3 linked regions of the Mus musculus genome follow. The protein of the gene in region 2 purifies or fractionates together with the protein of the main gene of each other region. This does not show direct contact. Links are inferred from orthologs where the notes say so. Each region holds a gene or a part of one and is shown on either strand. Other genes may lie near its edges. The genes, in order: Stk24, Cttnbp2nl and Strn3.

Region 1 (6,179 bases), on a different chromosome or scaffold from region 2:
CTCTCTGAAGTGGGTCCTTGGTGTAGTTCAGCTTTCGTTGTTTTGGACAGGGACTGTACCCCCCTTACCTGACTCGTCTGAACCCTCAGGTGCCACATTTCCTAACAAGCAGGTATGTGTACTGGGGCTTGGTATCTGTGCTGTTTGGAGAGGCATCCTGTCTTCCTAGTCTCCATTTGTTGGGGTACGTGGTGTTTAAACACGATTGGGTGTTTCCATGGCTTCTGATCACATGCCAAATGGCTTGGTGTCCTGGATGTGCCAGCTCTGTGTCCAGGCTTGAAGGTGGGCATCAGAGGCAGACAGAAGACTGCCCAGGTCCCTGCACAAGTCCTGGGGAATGGCAGCTCAGCCAAGATAGAACTAGAGGGGTGTGGGAACGCTAGGCACCTAAGAGTTCACTGCCACACACTTCTCACCTGTGTGGGTTCAAATACTTCATGGTTTGGTTTAGATGGACTCCACTAGAGAGCCCAGTCTGGTCTTGAACTTTCAGTTCCTCTTGCCAACCAACCTTCAGAGCTGGGGTTACAGTGGCCTGCCACTATTCCTGGTTGTATTCAGGATGTTCCAAAGAGGAATCTCAGGTTGCTTTGCAGCCCAGGGCTGTCACTCAGTGTACCGGGGACAGAGTAAGCAGAGACAGTTCCTTGCAGGATTGCTGTGCAGTCAGAGCGCAGCTAACCTCAGGCAGAGACCATGACTGTCCGGCCTTGTAACCTGTAAGGCTGAGCAGGGTGTGTGAAGTCTGGAGATCTGGATGGAGAGCCATTGCCAGGGGCCCCATTGATGCATGGTGGGACATGGCTGTGCCTCAGAGCATGGGAGTAGGTGCCGTAGTTACGAGGACTACAGTGGGAGCACGTGAGTCAGGCCTGCCTCAGTCCTCCTCTTCCTGCTGTGTGGCTTTCTCCCTTTTTCTAGCCACCTTCATGGTGATGACTGAGGTGATGTGGCAGGGATTTCTGGTGCTCACAAGGTTTCAGGAGAATAGCAAGCAAGGGTACTCCAGGTAAAGGCTGGAGATTGTTCTGGTCCCCTGGTCCCCTTCATCGGCCTCTCCTGCCACCTGTGCCGTAAGTGTTGGACTTGTGACAAGTTCATGGTGCAATGACAAGAGCAGGTGCCGTTCTCCACCCCATCCCCATGCCTTCTTTGCCAACCCGTTTTGTCGTGTTTCACACGTGTTGAGCTCCTGACAGCCCTGCTTGTTGTAAAGTTGGCCTGAGACTTGTGTTCCTTTCATACAGTGAGCATTTAAGGAACGTACCGTGCACAGAGGTGACAGTCCGACACAGGGGTTTGGGCAGTTGGAGAGCAGGGCTGTCCCAGTGCCTAGTCTGTCTGAGTCTCAAGTCAGAACCTGCAGGGCCTTAGCTGGGAACACACTGAGAGAGAAACACATCAGATGTCAGGGGTGCTTAGTGAAGGCTTTAGTATTGTGGTAACTGCAGTGACCACAGGCAGCTTGGGGAGCACAGGGCTAATTCACCTTAAAATGTACAGTCCCTCATGAAGTCAGGCCAGGAACCTGGAGATGGGAGCTGTAGCAGAGACCATAGGGGATTCCACTTGCTGGCTGGTTCTTCCTGGCTGGCTTAGTTTGCTTTCTCACATACCAGGGCCACCTGTCCAGGGGTGATGGCCCCTCCCACAGTGGTCTGGGCCTTTCCACATCAATCATTAATCAGGAGAAAAAATGCTTCAAAAAGGCTTGCCTGTAGGTCAGTGTGACGGGGCGTGCTCTCCATTGAGTGAGGTTCTTCCAGCTTATCAAGTCCAACCAGGACAAAGGGAAATGACACGCAGAGTAAGGACTTGAGACCTCATTCTTAAAGGCTCTGGGGAAATTGGCAATAGAGACCGCTATTGATTAAAGGACCTGGGCAGCGTAGCCATCATATGGGGCAAGTGGACTTTGGATCCTAATTCAGATAAAGCAGCTCTGGAAACTTTTATGGTTTTTAAGCAGTTGGAAAGGCTCAGGTATTACTTGATATTAAAGAATTGTAGATACTCCTTGAAAAACTCACTGGAACTTGGACGTACTTTTTTTTCCCCCTTGCTCATTCTGGTAGCAGTGCTGTCTGGAAAATGGGCCATCGGTTGCTGCCTAGCACCACACACGAGAGCTGCTGTGCTCATGGCCTGGGAAAGCTCCAAGTTCAGTAGCTCCATTTCTACTGCTAGTATTGCTAATTTCAGTGTCAGGGTGCAGACAAGCCCTGTTTGGCTGGCATATTGAAGTACTCGGGGGTGAGGGGTGGCAGGTGTCAAGATAGCTTCTGTCTGTCTGTCTGTCTGTCTGTCTGTTTATTCTTTCTTTGAGATAAGATCCTGCTGTATATAGTTCTAGTATTTTGCTGTGTATATGGCTTGAGCTAGCCTCAAACTTGTGGCAGTCCTCCTGCCTCTGTCTCTTGGGTGCTGTGATTACAAGTCACTATACTTAACAAAGTCTATATGAAAGTGATCACAGTGATTACCTTTGTGTGCCATATGTATGGTTATATTAATGTCCATGTCTGTGTGTTTGACCATTTTTATAATAAACATTCTCTACCACTGATAAGAGCATTTGCCTAGGGTGAGCCCCTAGGTTCAGTTCCCAGCACTGCAAATGCCATCAAACAAAGCAATAATGCTTTGAGTTGTGGGCACAGTGGTAATGCAGTCCCTTTATACACCCTTGAAACTACCTCCCTCGTGAAAATCAAGGGGGCAGGGCTAAGGGAAAGCTGCCTGTCTAGTGTCCTAAGACCCTGATTATAGTGCTGCTGTTTGAGACCACTAGGTCTGAGCAGCAGTGTGTAGTACCAGGTGCTGCCCAGGGGTGAAGTTCCTCCTGCTCATGTACTCCTGTTACTGCTGCTGGAAACCTGACACAGGCCTGCTGCCTGCCACAGAGGTGGCCAGTCTGGATCGCTACTGTAGCAATTTTGTATTTGTATGTAGTGTTTGCTACATAAAATCTGTCCACTTGTTTCCTGTGTTAAAATTATGCCACTGGCTTGTGTTTCTTAGTTCAGAATAGTGGTCTTTTTCAGAACCTGAGATTGAAGCGCGCGTGTTTTCCCCTCCCTTGTGCCTGTCTGAATGTGTCTCACGTCTTTAACATGCTTTTGTCCTTGCAGGCAGACATCTGGTCCCTTGGCATCACCGCAATAGAACTGGCCAAAGGAGAGCCACCACATTCTGAGCTGCACCCCATGAAGGTGTTATTCCTCATCCCAAAGAACAACCCTCCCACACTGGAAGGGAACTACAGCAAACCCCTCAAGGAGTTCGTGGAGGCCTGCCTGAACAAGGAGCCCAGCTTTGTGAGTGTGCACCTTTCTGGAGTCTCATCTTGGTCTGCATTTCTTCTGTTAGGGTTGGGCCAGACACTGTTTCCAGCTGTCTCCCTGATCTCTCTCTCTCTAGTCTTGGCAAATGAATTCAATATCTATCTATCTATCTATCTATCTATCTATCTATCTATCTATCTATCTATCTATCTATCTTCCCTCCCTCCCTCCCTCCCTCCCTCCTTCCCTCCCTCCCTCCCTCCCTTCCTTCCTCTTATTTGTTTTGAGACAGGGTTTCTCTCTGAAGCTCTGCCTTTCCTAGAACTCTCTCTGTAGACCAGGCTGGCCTTGAACTCACAGAGATCTGCCTGCCTCTGCTTCCTGAGTTCTGGGCACCACCACTGCCCCGTTTCTTTACGGACGCTCGCTCTTTGTTGCCTTTTGTCATCCTCTTGTCTTTTAGGGATTTCAGATGTAATTATTTTATCTTAGATTTTCTAGCATCTCCTTACTTCATTGAGCCTGAAGAATATTCTACTTAGTATAATAGGTAGGATGGTCAATTTTTAATATTTATAGAGAAAAGTCAGGCTGTACAACTAGGAAGCTACTTCAGTAGTAGCAGCGGGTAGACTCAAAATAAAGGAAGCAAATGGTCAGCTTCCAGTTAGTTGTTGTGTGCTAGGGAACAGACACACGGGGTACACGTGAGTCGCCCACCTCCACTGCCCCGCCTTTTCTCTCTGTGTTTACTTAGAGGTGGCAAAGCCCATGCATGCCCTTAGCTACTCTGAGCTTTCCTCTTTGTTCTCTGAGAATCGGGGCTTTTCTTGGAATAGAAAGGTAGCCTGTGTGTTGTCACATGTAGCACTCCATGCCGTAGCTTTGATTTGGGTTTCTTTGAGCAGATTTAGCTTCATTGAGCCTGAAGAATACTCATGGAGAGGGTCCCCGTTAGCTCTTGTCTGAAAATGGTGAGAAAAGATGAATGACACAGGAGCATCATATGGTTATCAACAGGAGCCCGTTCTGGCAAAGGGATTAAAAGGGGCAGAAAACACTGTCTTGGCTCCACCAGGGGCTGCAGGTTGAGGTTAGCAGGTTGCATTTGGTTATTGGGTCAGGTGGTGGGTGTGGTCTTGCATGCTAAGTCAATGTTTGATTGTTACACCATGGTGCCACACAATGTGGTGGAAGAGAGACCCAAATATGTGCACATCTTTTTTTATTTTTTTTATTTTTATTTTTTTATTTTATTTTATTTTTTTTGGTTTTTCGAGACAGGGTTTCTCTGTATAGCCCTGGCTGTCCTGGAACTCACTTTGTAGACCAGGCTGGCCTCGAACTCAGAAATCCGCCTGCCTCTGCCTCCCAAGTGCTGGGATTAAAGGCGTGCGCCACCACGCCCGGCTTCACATCTTTTTTTAAAGCATGTGCAGTACCGTTTATTCCCACCATGCACCCCTCTACCTTGGCTTACCCCTGGACCTTCACATGTGAAAGCTGCAAAGCTGAGAACACTTGGGATGTTTGGAGCGTCACAGCCAAAAGATGGGGGCGGGAGGACTCTCAGAGATTTCCATTAGAAGAAAATGCTATTCTTGATTCTTTGGAGCAAACATCACTGTGGGTGTGCCTGCCTGGCATCTCTGTGATTTTGCTATCTGTCCCTAGTTGGGCCACTCTGTTTCTTGGGGAACTTTTTGCCAGTAGATGGGGAAGCCGCTTACACTCTTTAATGCCATTTGGTTGGAGCTGTGCCGTGCTGGGTGGGGATTAAGCTGTTGGTCCCTGTCACCATCGTGGTGATGGCTTCACGGACCTACTTTTCTAAGTGGGGAGTGCTGGTGAGTGAGGGAACCGAGGCAGGAGCCAGGAGCCAGTCAGGTCTCTCCTAACTCCTGTCCCAACCTCTTCTGAGATGAGTCGAATCTGTGAACTCAGTTTAGGGTATTCGCCTAACACTATAGGAGATCATAAAGAATGTGTATTTCCCTTAGCCAGCACTCATGCTGAGAAACCAAAGAAAAACAAGATGAGCTCTCTCAGACAGTACTCACCAAGTTCTTTGTGGAGTTCTTTGCAGGAGTTCTTTTTCTTTGGTGAGCTACTCTGGCAGGATGCTTCAGTCTTTGTTGGAAACTCTCTCCCATTTTCCCTGTGCCCATATATGCTTGGGCATGGGTATGAAATGACTTCTCCAGAAAGCCTGAGTTAGGAGCAGGCTCTGAAGCAGAATCCAGGGCTGCCCCGTGGTGCGATGGTCTGGCTTTTTAACCCAGCAGTCTTGTCTGTTTGTGTGGGATAGAGTGGGGTGAAGAGGAAATGTCCTCTCGTGGTGATGACTTCGACATGTGTGCTTTCCAGAGGCCCACTGCTAAGGAATTATTGAAGCACAAATTCATAATCCGCAATGCAAAGAAAACGTCCTACTTGACCGAGCTTATCGACAGGTACAAGAGGTGGAAGGCGGAGCAGAGCCACGAGGACTCCAGCTCGGAGGACTCTGACGTGTAAGTTGCCCTGTCCAGGCTCTCCATGCCTGTAGCAGAGAGTTGGGCCCTGCTTCGTGGGGGTGGGGGTGGGGGTGAGCTTTTTTTGTGTGTGTAGCTGTGGCCAGGGTGGGGGTGGGAGGGCAAAAGAGAGTACAAACTTAGAGTCATGGCCAGAAGGAGGAACCTGCGGAGACACTGAGGCCCCAAAGGGACTAATAGTGAAGTGGCAGGCGGATCCTTAGGAGAGGTGTGGCCACTGTGTGCTGGAGGCAGCAGCAGGAGTGATGGAGCTGGTGGTGGTCTGGGCAGTGCAGCCCCTGGCCTGGTGTTGGTGAACTTGGTAGGATTTCTGTTCCAAGGGAGACAGATGGCCAGGCGTCTGGAGGCAGCGACTCTG
Region 2 (5,948 bases):
GTAAAAGGGGTGTGTACTATACAGATACAGATATACGCCCATTTGGTTCCATAGATAGAAGTGCTGGCAGCATGGAGAGTGAATGTAACAATTTGGTAAAATCTGTATAATTCTGACTTACAGTATTACAAAGACTGACTTTTAAGTTATTGCTTTTTGATCACAGAATAAAGAGTTCATTATGTCATTTCCTATTCAAGTAAAAGCAACCAGAATCAGAAGTTCCCATGGCCGATGCTTGAGGGTGGATTTGAATGGAGACGTGACTTCACTACTCAAGAAGTGATGCAGGAAACGGAGAATGACTTAAGTTTTCAAAAGCACAAGAAAATCAGCACCCCAACTGCTAAGTGTTCTGGAGGGTTTCTTGAGGGCTTTACAGAGCTCAGCCTGACAGAGTTCCCGCCCTTCAGAAGGATTTCCACTCTACTTATGCAAACCTCGGTTCAGAACACAAAGCTGGCATTAAACAGTCAGAGAGGATTAAAAGCAGTGTTGGTTTTTTGACATTCAGATTCACAGAGGATCTCATTTGCTGCAAGAAATGCTCTGTCTTTTGTTTCTGCCGCAGAATCACATTCCCGTGGCAGGCGATTTCAGGCACTTTTAAAACATGTTCATCTGGAATAAAAATCTGCACGAACCGCTTCTGCATAATTTGAAATGAGTGCTGAGTAATGAATTCTAGCTCCCCGACTGGCAGCAGCACCGCCTGGTCCCCAGTCAGCCGCCTCGTCGCAGCACGCTGGCAAGTGCAGAGCTTGAGATGCGCTATGTCTATGAGGTCCCCTTCTAGCTTAGTACAAAGAGGTGAGTCATAAAAATCCAAAGTATTCAATTTCTACTTAAAAAAATACAAAAAGGTAAATACACTGAATGTATTATACAGATGGCTGTAGCTACTATCAAATAAATAACATGATTTGACTCCAGGGTTTAACGCTGAGCTCTTGGCCCGAGTCTGATGGAATGTCAAATGTGGAGACTCAGCCCTAGGGACTAGCTGCTGGTAGGCAAAAGTATCTCAACATCTTTGCCATTGGCCACCACGGCACTGGGGGAGCAGCTGCTGGCGAGGTCTTCTGTGGCGGCCAGGGAGGATGCCTGGGAATGAGTCTTGGTTACTGGAGTGGTGGCAGACTGCGAAGGGGTGAGGCCAGGCTTTTTGGGCGGGATTGGTGGAGGGTTTCCTCTCTCAGCTCTGGGGATGGTTGGGGACTTGATTCCTGGAGAGAGGGGGCTCAGAGGGCTGGACACTTTCCCTGGAGTGGGTGAATGGCTGGTGTCACCTCTTGGGCTGGCAGTGCTGGCCAGATTTCGGTAGTCTGTCCCAAAGGGAGAACTGTTGGGAGAGACGGGCTTAATTGGCCCTTGGTTAGTGAATCTGGAGAGCACCTGAGTGACTGTGTTTCGGGCCAGCTGCTTGGCAGCAGAGTTGTCTAACAGGGTAGGGGACAGGTCCCTGGATGGAGGGCTCTGGAGACCGCTGGCTTGCTGATCCTGATCCGCCTGGGACTGAAATTTGTGCCGAGCGGCATGGAAGCGCTGGTTGATCCCGACTTGGTAGGAAGACTGGTAGCCCGGGCTGCTGGCTGCTGACCCCAAGAGACGCTTGGTTAGAACTGGGGAGGAGCAAGGAGATGATGTCAGAGAGGAAGAGGCTGTGCTGCTGGGAGACAGGGAGCTGCCACTGGAAGGGAGGTGACTAGGCATCGTGACTGGAGTCTCAGTTCCTACAGGACACCCACCATTCTCCACTGGTTTCTCCTGAGCCGCTACTGCAGATTTCTCCCGTGGAGGCCCTTGGTTTTCTGTGCTGCTGTCTGAGGTCAACTCCCTGGTAGTCTGTATCTCTGGGTCACAGTGGCCATTAGCTTTAGCATATGAGTAAGCAGCCGTGGTGGGACCTGGAAGACCAGTGTCTGTCAGCTTGGTTATGACACTCCCGTGGCTTCTTTCTGTCTGAACACTCTCTGTTTGACAAAACGCAGACACTCGCATGGGAGGCTCCGTGGCTGTGCCTCTGGACATGGTCACTGGCTCCCTGCCCTGCTCACTGGTGCTGCGGTGCTGCTGGGCAGCCTCTAGGTCTTTCACAAGCTTCTTCAGGCTCTCCACCTCCTCCTTCAGGGCACGGGTCCGGTTCTCCTCTCGGTTCAGTTTGGCTCTCAGCTGCTCCCTTTCGATATCGAACTCAGACAGCTGCTTCTCCACCTGGGCCTCCGTCTGCAGGCCCCGCTTCCTCTCGGCTGCCAACTCTTCCTCTAGCTTGCTCGCCCGGCTCTTCTCCTTGTCCAGTTTCAGGCTCAGCTCTCCGGCCTTCTGCCCTTCCTCGGCTGCCTTGCTAGTGGCCTTCCTGCACTCGAGCACCAGCATGGAAGAGAGCTGCTTGTGGCGGGTGCGCTCCTCCTCCAACTGACTGGACAGCTTCTTTTGTTCTTTTTCAAACTTTTTCACTTGGGACTTTTCAAATTCCAACTAGAAAAGAAAAATGCCACCACACCTCTTGATTAGAGAAGGAAAACAGAAGGATGTACTAACAATTACGATCACTCAGGGTGTCCTCACTGGCTGCTCTCTGGTGCGCGGTATTAGTTTGTACAGCACGGTGCTTAGGTTAATTAGTATTTTTGAAGTATGAGAACACCCCACACACTATGATTTAATCTTTCTTGATGACTTGGGAGGCATTTGAGTTCCTAACTGCCTCAGGGTGAACAGCAGGGATATGATGCACCGTTGTGTTTTAGGTATGCGGAGAGGCCATAGAATCAGCCAAAACAAATAACAGAATACAATGTAAGATGCATCTGGGCATGGATGCTGTTGAAAATCAAACTTGAAGATGCAGCAATCATTCTGTCTGATCTTTACAAAGAGTAACGAACATAAATAGCTGCACTGAGACCCTGCTTTTGTTGTTTTCATTAGACAAAGTCTTACTCTGAGACTCGCTTTGAATTTGAAATCCTCCTTCCAACTGGTAGGACGAGAGGCATGAACCACCATCCTTGGATCTACACAAATGTAGTCTGTTTTATTGTCTAACATTATTATACAGACTCTGAGAGGGAACGGGTGGATGAACCTTCTAATCAGGAATTTCCAATTCGAGATACATTGATAGATGGGGAAGCCAGTTCAGTAAACCATGATCATACTTAAAAACAAAAAGAATTCATGAGTGTGAGTCAAGGCTGCCCTGATCTACAATGTGAGCACACCACCACTGTATAGTACAAGAATAAACAGATGGTTTATGTCCTGTGATCTCTGTGATGTGGAAATTATTTAATCCCAAACTGAGGTTTCTACCTTGCCTTTATCATTTAGTTTCCGGATAAAAGACACACACAGCCTTTATATTTACAATAAGGCTTAACCAGGACAAAACCTAGGCAGATATCTACTTTCTATGCTATTAGAATCTACTTTCCTATTGATAACTCCAACTTATTACTTACCATGTTTCATCTGGGCTGCTCTTAAACTCTAATTGGCCAGCCCTCAGGGCCATATTTTCACGGCTCACCTAACCCATGGTGGCTCCTCCTCCATACTTTTCACCTTCTCTTTCTTGTGTTTCTCCTCTCACCCCAAATCCTGCCTAGCTATTGGCTATTGGCATTTTTATTCACCAATCAAAAATAACTCGGGGCAAGATCACACAGTGTCACTTGGGTCTACATGTAGACTGTGTCATCTCTGGGACAACCAGATCTTGGGGGCCCAATATTAGCATTAAAGGACAAGCAAGACCACACCTCAACACTCTACTTCAGGCGTACTGGCTTGGGATAGGCCATGCTGTTACTGTAGGTCGTGGGACAACAAAAAAGCCTGAAACTCAGAGATCTCTAAAGGATGTGCTATGAATGACAGTTCCACTGAGTGATCTTTGTTTGTTTTATTTTTAAAGTTATGTATACTTGTGTGTGGGTGAGGACTCTGTGCATGAGTACAGGTCTTACTGTAGACAGGAGGAGGGTGTCAGATCCTCTGAGCTGGAGTTCCAGGAAGGTGTGAGACACCTGATGTGGATGTGAGGAACCAAACGTGGGCCCTCTGCAAGAGCAGTGCTTGCCCCCTGGACTATCTCCCCAATCCCAAGTTACCTATGTTTTTTGTTTGTTTGTTTGTTTGTTTGTTTGAAAAAACAGACATTTTGGGAATAGCCGTGATAAACATGGCCATTCTATCTTCTCAATAAGGACTTCTAACGTAATTCTGCACACTGCCGTAAGCCTAAGCAGCAACTCTCTAGACAAGGTCATCCTGCTCCTCCTTCCCGAGTTACCTGCTGCGTCAGTCTCTCCCTCTCCTTCTCCAGCATGTAGGTGACATCATCTCCTTCAGCAGTGTCCTGTGCATGCCTCTGTCTTTCTTCTTCAAGGTCGAGGATCACCTGTAAAGGATTTTAAAGCATTAACTTCCAAACATCGACTCAACACTTACACTACTCAAGACTTGAGGGTTCCAGATTAAATGAGCAAACACATGAAATCCAGCCAGGGCTGTCGAGGCGCACGCTGTCGCAGCAGGATGAAAGACATGTGAGCTATGTGCTAGAAAACAAGATGTTTACTTTTGTTGAAGTATGTGCAGAAGAATGCAAACAGAGACAAGAGAGAAACGAATTAGCTGTGGGGGTTGGGAAGGTTTGAGAACCAGCAGAATTCTGGGAAATCACAGGCGGTTTGTTCTGACTAGGGACCTGCTGGGGCGAGCCCTGTTGTGGTGGGCGGCACCACACAAGGCTGAGGTGTTCCTCTCAATGCTATCACAGGAGGCACCAAAGCTCCAGCTTGAAACTAAAGATCAAATCAAACAGAACATCCAGTGCCTTGCTTAACTAACACCCAGATCATCTGGGAAAGACTCCTACTCCATCCTATGTGCAGAAGGCTCGGTTACTGGGATCTGACCTGTGATTTTCCACAAGAATTTAACAACTTGCCCATTTATCCTAGTCCACTTATCCTGGTGCTGAATGCTCTAAATCAGTTTCCAGGAAAACAAAAGCAGAAATGGACATTTCTCATGCATTCTGCCCAAACCACACAGCATTTGACATGTGAATGTATCGTTCAGTAGCTTCTGTTTCAGAGTGGCTCAGCCTAGACCTCTTGGGCTGTCAGTTATGTTGATGGTCAATTCTCAAGATGTTGCCTACTAATAATTTTAGGAATGAAGAAAGAACATTTTCTATAACACGGAACCCCACTTTAAAGTTTAAAATGAAAACAAACAAACATGGTGACACATGCCTGTCCTCTAAGTATACAGAAGGCAGAGGCAGGAGGATTGCCATGACCGTGAAGTTAGCCTTGTCTACACAATGAGTTCGAAGCCAGCCAGAGCTATACAGATACAGGGAGATCTAGTCTCAAAAAATAATTAAATATAAATAAAACTAAAATTAAGATGTATTAGTGTACTTCCTGTTGAGCTAAAAAAAATCTAGATTTTAAATGTAATAGAATGCCTTCTGGTTAAATGTATTATCTAGTTTGAGAGCCCTTTAAAATTACAGAAAGAAATATACTATAGAGTCTCAGAGATGAGAGACTTTAGTAGGGGAGAAAGTTTTTTCAAGAATTTATTGTATTTATTTATGCGTGAGTATGTGCGCACATGAGCGTTGTTGCCCATGGAGGCCAGAGGCACTGAATTCTATGGAGCTAGAGTTACAGGTGGTTGTGAGCTGCCTGATGTGAGTGTGTTAGCAACTAAACTCGGTCCTTTGGAAGAGCAATTAGTGCTCATCCCTGCTAAGCCATCTCTCCAGGCCCCAGACAGGAAGGTTTAAGAACAGTCTGAAATGGAAAACAAGCTTGGGGAGAGGCAGTGCTTCGGTAGCAGGAGTGAACCATCTCACCTCACCTGCAGGCTCCAAAGAGCTGGAACCTTGGAAAGCAGGTGCTGTAGGGAGTCTGGTTCAGAGTCTG
Region 3 (6,921 bases), on a different chromosome or scaffold from region 2:
AGTAACAGAAATAATTTTAAACTTACAGCTTAAATACAACACATGAATTTTTTACACATACATTCAACACAAAACTTTGAAGTATGTACTCACAAGCAGTTTTATTTAGACTAATAGCATTCAAGGCCACTGTGAGCCACCTACCAAGGTTCAGGCAGCTTTTCTAAACAGTCCTGGCCCCCACCCACACACAATGAGTGACAGCACTTAAAGCACACTCAATATCCTAGAAACAAATCTGAAACACTATCAATTAATCCAATAAGGCAATTTTTAAAATATACAGCACATACAAGAACATATAAACAATCCAGTCGTGAACATTTTATTCCAAAAGTATCAGTATAAAATAATGCGAATGTCTCTGGATAAAATAGAACCAGAGAACATCATATAACATTCTTTAAACAGAGTAAACAAGCTGGAGAAATGGCACATCTTCCAGGGTACCTTAGTCCCAGTCCCAGCCCCCACAGCAGGGAGGCTCACAACACCTGCAACTCCAGCTCCAGAGGAACCCACCATCTGGCCTTTGAGGACCTGACCTCATGTGCACATGCACATATACACACATAATGAAACATAATAAAAAGGTTTAAAAGGAGGGGAAAAGCAAGTAAATAAAGACTATCAATCTGAAAGAAACCAAGCTACAGAATCCTTAAAAATCCTTTTCTGTTGCTGTTAAGTAAGATCAGGAACAATGAAAAAGAAAACCATGTATTTCAGTAATGTAAAACTTGTTGCCAGGCGTGGTGGCGCATGTCTTTAATCCCAGCACTTGGGAGGCAGAGGCAGGTGGATTTCTGAGTTCAAGGCCAGCCTGGTCTACAAAGTGAGTTCCAGGACAGCCAGGGCTACACAGAGAAACCCTGTCTCAAAAAAACAAAAAAAAAACAAAACAAAAACAAAAAAAAAGACGTAACAACAACAACAACAAAAAACTTAATTTGGATACAAGATGCTTTCTTAGCTAGTTACATTAATCATGCCTGAGTGACAAATTCAAGTGCTAATTTGAAAATCAAAACAACAGTACAAGGATCAAATACTATATATGGACCTGGTGGTTTATCAATTCAGCAAAAGCCTCAATGTAATTTTTAACAGATTACCTTCTCTCTATCCACATGGAAAAGTCGGCATCAACATACTAGAAAGATGTATGCCCACAAAACTCTAAATCCAACAATAGTAGACTCTAGAAATTTAAAAGAAACCACAGCAATTTTGACATAAGTTTTTTTGAAAGTAGTAATCTCTAAAACACAAATGTATTTTTTAAGCACAATTTTAAGATTACGGAATGAACTAAAGGTGTCATATAAAATAAGTAGGATTTTGTTGTTGTAAAATTTAACTTCACCCACTTTGTGGAGTTAAATAAAAGTTTACTGGCTTGCCAGGTGAGGTGGTACAAGACTTTATAATTCCAGCACTTCAAGAGGTAGCATGTGGACCTCTAAGAGGTCTAAACCAACCTGTTCTACATAGTGAGTTTTCAGATCACCCAAGACAACAGAGACCGTCTCAAAAGCAACCACAATACTAGATGGTGAGGGCACACACCTTTGATCCCAGCAGAGGCAGATGGATCTCTGAGTTGCAGGCCAGCCCGATCTACAGAATTACTTCCAGGACAGCCAGAGGTACACAGAGAAAAAAGCCAGTTTCAAAAACACAAAACAATAACAAAAGCCCATAACCAAAAAAGTTTACTGGTCCAATCAATTGCTTTGCAATGCTTTTGACAATGAAACAACCTTATTTCTAATTTTCTTTTACTTTTTTGTTTGTTTAAGATAGACTCTTATGTAACTGCAATTGTCCTGGAACTCTATATAAATCAGCCTGGCCTGAACTCATGGATATTAAACATCTCCCTCCTGAGCACTGAGATTAAAGACTTATGCCTCTACACCTGGGTATTTTTAATTTTTGAATAAAATTGTTTATAGTTTGTAAATAATCAGGTCAGAAATAAATTAATCAATGTAATTAAAAAGTTTACTATTCGACACCAAACTGAAGACTCATATTTATTTGAGGATACCTTTTCTACATTCATTAATCACGCTGTTGTTTCAACATTATTTCTCACCAAAGTTATTGTGTGTGTGTGTGTATAATAACGAACAATATTGCTTATGTCGAAATTTATAAGTCTGAAAAACAGGTGCAACGCTTAATTAGATACACGCTTTTTTTCTTCTAAGCTTAAATTAAACCCTGGAAAGGAACTTAAAACTAAACGCAGTCATCCTCCAGCTTGAATAATCCTTTCAAACAGATGCAGCAATTTTAAAAATTCAAGGCATGAACCCGCAACTGTCACCTTCCAAAAGTTAGGATAACCCAAGTCTGTCAGAGGATCACATTAAGTGGACATTTAACTCCGTTTTAGCTTGTACTAAGCGATAAGTACGGTCTACTTCAAATTAAGACCAATTCTTTCCGCAGACATTTCCTAAATACTGTACTGACAGCCCAGCTTTGCTTTGCATCAGTAAAAACATGAATATAGTAGGGAACTCTAGAGAAGCCGACTCAAGAGAGAAATATTCAGTTAAAGTGTTGATGAATCAGTAAGCGCTAAAGGAAATCCAAGTGAGTAGAGCGGCATCGCAGGTACTTAAAGGAGTTGAGGATGGGAAGGCAAACTTGTCCGGCCGGCCGCGAGCCATTGTGCGCGGCGGTAGCCCGAAGCGGCGTGGCTGTCAAGGGGCAAGTGCGTACCGAGGCGCGGGGGAGGGGGCAGGACGCCACATCGGAAGGGGGTGCAGGAGCCAGGAGGCAAAGACGCTCATCCCAGGCCCTCTCCGCGTGGCCTCACCCTCAAGGGGACCCACAAGCGCAAACTCAGTGCCTAGCGGGCCCACGCCAGACTCTCGCCCAGAGGCGCTGGGCCCAAACCCCGGAGGCCCAGGAGAGGTGGCTCCGGAGGAGCCCTGCGGACGCCATGCTAAAAGCCAAAATGGCTGCCCCAAGGATGCCCGCAGCGCGCCGCCCGTGAGGAGGGAGCCGGGCGCGCCGTCACCGCTCGCCGGCCGGAGCGGCTCAGGTAGGTCCCCTCCGCCCTTGAGGGCACGGGCCTCAGCCCCGGCCCCACCCCCGCGGCCCGTGGCCCCGGCCCCAGCTCGCAGTCGAGAGGGGTGACGGGTGACGTACCTGCAGCTCGGCCCGCTCCACCTCCCAGTGCGCCCGCTCCATCTCGAAGCGAGCCCACTCGTGCTGGATGTAGTGTAGGATCCCCGGGATCGTGTACTGTTGCGGCCGGGACAGCTCCGGGCCTGCCGGGGGCCCCGCCGCCTCGGCGGCCGGAGGACCCCCGCCGCCCGGCGCTCCGTTCGCTCCCGGCGGCAGGCTCAGGTTCCCCCCGGGTCCCTGCTGCGGCCGGGGAGGGGCTGCCATCCCCTGGCCGCCGCCGCCGCCTCCGGCCAGCTCGTCCATTGTGTGTGGGGCCCCGGCCGGGGCGCAGTGCCAGACGCCGACAGCTGCGGGGAGGGCCGGGACGGTGGCCCCGCGCCGACCGCAGGGCGGGGGGCCGGCCGGGAGACGGCCGGGGAGGGGGTCGTTGCCGTGTGCTTGCCGCGGATCAGAGCAGGGAGCTGCCGGCCGCCGCCATTACGGTACCTCCTCCATCTGCCCGTCTCACTCACTCACTTTGGGGGAGAGGGGGGCCGCGGCGGGAGGAGGAGGAGGGACGGAGGAGGAGGAGGAGGGACGGAGGGCCGCCGCTCGCGCACGGCACGCTGGGTAGAGAACGCCGCTGCAAGCCGCACTCCGGAGAGCCAAAAAGAGTCCGGCCTCACCCCACGCAGGCGCACTGAGGATGGACCGCTCTTCGGGAGGCGGGGAAAGGCCTGGGCCCCGCCCCAACTCGGGCGCCGGGCCCCAGCTTTTCTACGCCTGTGGAATCTGGATGCTGCCTTGACTTTGGGGAAGCGCGTGGGCGTCGGGCTTCCGGGTCGTTTTCCTCACGCACGTATCCTTAGGGGCAGCGTGGGTCTCAGCTGAGGGCCTGGGCTCTGGAGCTGCGTGCAAGGCGTCCTCCGTACTGCCCTGGAATTCCTGACGTTTCTCTAGAATTCCTGGCGTGTTTTGCTCAGTCCCAGAGGGTCGGGCCTCTTTTCTGCCTGTCACTCACTTGACCTCTGGTTTCGTGGCACCAGTCAGTCTGCAGGATTCTGGAGACGTCTACGTTTGGCAAATAGCCCAGATTCTTCCGGACTTTCTCACTGGCTCCTGGGCTTCGTCGCAACCTGCTTCTTTGGTCCCACTTCGGTGCTCCTGGCCGCCCGTTGTAACTTCTTAAGTCTTTATTATTCTGAGATTCTCTGTGTTTGAGCTATTGCTTTTTTTTTTTTTTTTTTTTTTTTTTTTTTTTTTTTCCTGAAGAAGTTGTGATATCTTGAATTCTTGAGAATAGTGGGTTGGATGGCAAACGATAACTTTCAAAGAGACTGATGTTTAGAAGTCAATGAACGCAGATATTGTCATTAGTGGCAGAAATTTTGATCGAAACAAAATGAAAGTATTGTAAATAGAACTTAAGATGAACTAAATCAACACAACGATATCTTTCTTCATCATTAAATGGTTTTAGAATGAAATACTACATACACAAAGGGTCAGTTTTTAGGTGCTATAGTGTGCATTTTTCTGTAAGTTCTTTTTTTGGTTTTTTCGAGACAGGGTTTCTCTGTATAGCCCTGGCTGAACTGGAACTCACTTTGTAGACCAGGCTGGCCTCGAACTCAGAAATCCGCCTGCCTCTGCCACCCGAGTGCTGGGATGAGAGGCGTGCCACCACGCCCGGCTTTCTGTAAGTTGAGGTAACAGCCTGGCTACCGGGCTTGGTGAACCATGTCTTTAATCCCAGCACTCGGGAGGCAGAGGTAGACAACCTGATCTCTGGGTTTCGTTTCAGACCAGCTTGGTCTGCAGAGTTCCCAGACAGCCAGGACAACAGAGAAACCCTGTCTGGAAAAGCCAAAAAAGGAAAGAAGAAGAAGGAAAAAAAAAACAAAAAACCTAATAACCTATGTAACAGCAAATGAAAAGAAAAATACACAGTACTTACAGCTATACAAGAAATAGTATATAAAATTGGTTATGTTTTTAAACTTTTATTTTCACTCTGAAAGCCTATTCAAATTTTCACATTGGAGCATATAAGTGACTTCATATAACTTCAGAGAGAAAAAGAAATACATTTTATTTTGTCATGTCTGCTGTGTTATAAAGAACTAATTCGATCTGTTACACTTATTACCATATTTATGAAATGTAGTCTTTAGTAAATGAAGAAATGAGGCTGGAGAGATGGCTCAGCAGTTAAGAGCACTGACTGCTCTCCTAGGCGTCCTGAGTTCAGTTCCCAGCGACCACAGTGACTCACAGCCATCTGAAATGGGATACAGTGCTCTCTTCTGGTGTGTCTGAGAGAGCAACAGTGTACTCACATAAGTAAATACATCTTTTTTTTTATATGAAGAAATAGTACTGTTATCTAAGAGTTATTGACAATCAGCATACAGCTGGCTCAAGCAGTCCCATTCCTTAAGAAAGAACACATAAAAAGCTCAGAAAAACTTACATCCTGGGTACCTATTTTATGAACACAAGGAAGCTTTTAGGGATCTGAAGCCCACATGGCTGGTGATTATGTCAAAAGAGCAAGTTGCACATTTATATTTCTCATTTCACACTTCAGCTCACAGGAAGGTTGCCCCCCACCTACCCTGCAAAAAGATAACTGTTGTTCTTCTATTGTCTGTCTTAAGTGGAGACAGGCAGATCTTTGAGTTTGAGGCCAGCCTGGTCTACAAAGCCAGTTCCAGAATAGCCAGGACTGTTACACAAGGAAACCCTGTCTCAACAAAGAAACAGAAACAAATAGCAAAGTTTTCTGCTCTGCTGAGATGATGTTTTACACTGTTAACATTGTGCTTCCTGCCCACTGCTCCTGAGAACACTGGAATGAGTCTCTAGAACTTTTAGATAACAAATTCTCCCAGTTACACTCTAACAGTTCAGCTTGCCTAACTGGAATTCTCTCTCTGACCCCTTGCTGAGTCATTTCCTCTCTTCAGTCCCCTTTGAAACTTCCTATTTATCCTGTCCTCTCACCTGTCACTCCTCCCTGCTCCTGCCTAGATTCTCCTTCTTTCAGAATGATTTGGGGTAGGTGGAGGGTAAAATGGTGTGCTGCCCTTGAGTGTGAGATTCTCCTGTTTCTGCCACCCAAGTGCTGGGATTGCAAATGGACTTCAGCTTGCTCAGTTCATGATGATCTTCATGAAAGTCTATGTATGGCTGCTCGGTACTTTCTGCACTGGGGAGGCTGAGCCAGAATTATTGCTGAGAGTCTGAACCCTGAGTCATGTGAAGAATTCTAGGCTAGACTAAAGTACACAGTGAGACCTTGTTTTGTTGTTGTTTGGTTTGATTTGGTTAAAAAAACAATGCCTATATTTTTGATCAGCTTAGTTTTTAGGGCACTACTTTGTTTTCTATCCTTACAAGTAATATTTGAACCAATATGCTTACTCAGCTGGACTTGTCGTATTTAATTTACATGAATTATGAAAGCCAAAGTATACCAAAGAATTCCAGGCTTTTAAGTAAGTTGGGAATAGACAATACTCAGATACCTTCTTATCAGTTATTTCAAATGTGACTATGAAAAGCTTGTACTCCACTCTGCCTTTGAGAACCAAGTAGCTACTTGTGATTATCTAAGCACTTTGTCTTGGTGACCTGTCATCTTCCCACTGAAGAACTCAAGCAGGTTCATAAATACTATTTTAGTTGTTGTTTTTCCTCATCTTAAAGGGTATGACAAGAATTCTTGTTTTCATGGCTGGGAGAACAAGTCACAACACAGCTCTTGGTGACTTCAGCAAGTTCCATTGTATA

Evidence for each region.
Region 1: the proteins of Cttnbp2nl (region 2) and Stk24 purify together in Homo sapiens (affinity purification with mass spectrometry; 3 studies listed by BioGRID and IntAct, with this or other methods). This does not show direct contact. The link is inferred for Mus musculus from reciprocal best matches to the Homo sapiens genes CTTNBP2NL and STK24.
Region 3: the proteins of Cttnbp2nl (region 2) and Strn3 purify together in Homo sapiens (affinity purification with mass spectrometry; 4 studies listed by BioGRID and IntAct, with this or other methods). This does not show direct contact. The link is inferred for Mus musculus from reciprocal best matches to the Homo sapiens genes CTTNBP2NL and STRN3.

Annotation. Positions count from the first base shown.
Region 1 is NC_000080.6:121,294,276-121,300,454, reverse strand, and holds part of Stk24 (serine/threonine-protein kinase 24), read left to right. Parts: intron 1-3,134; coding exon 3,135-3,320; intron 3,321-5,654; coding exon 5,655-5,800; intron 5,801-6,141; coding exon 6,142-6,179. UniProt on the Homo sapiens protein: Serine/threonine-protein kinase that acts on both serine and threonine residues and promotes apoptosis in response to stress stimuli and caspase activation.
Region 2 is NC_000069.6:105,003,651-105,009,598, forward strand, and holds part of Cttnbp2nl (CTTNBP2 N-terminal-like protein), read right to left. Parts: intron 4,554-5,948; exon of another isoform or gene 4,406-4,553; coding exon 4,298-4,405; intron 2,479-4,297; coding exon 1,000-2,478; 3' UTR 1-999. UniProt on the Homo sapiens protein: Regulates lamellipodial actin dynamics in a CTTN-dependent manner. Associates with core striatin-interacting phosphatase and kinase (STRIPAK) complex to form CTTNBP2NL-STRIPAK complexes.
Region 3 is NC_000078.6:51,688,254-51,695,174, forward strand, and holds the start of Strn3 (striatin-3), read right to left. Parts: upstream 3,662-6,921; 5' UTR 3,451-3,661; coding exon 3,169-3,450; intron 3,062-3,168; exon of another isoform or gene 1-3,061. UniProt on the Homo sapiens protein: Calmodulin-binding scaffolding protein which is the center of the striatin-interacting phosphatase and kinase (STRIPAK) complexes.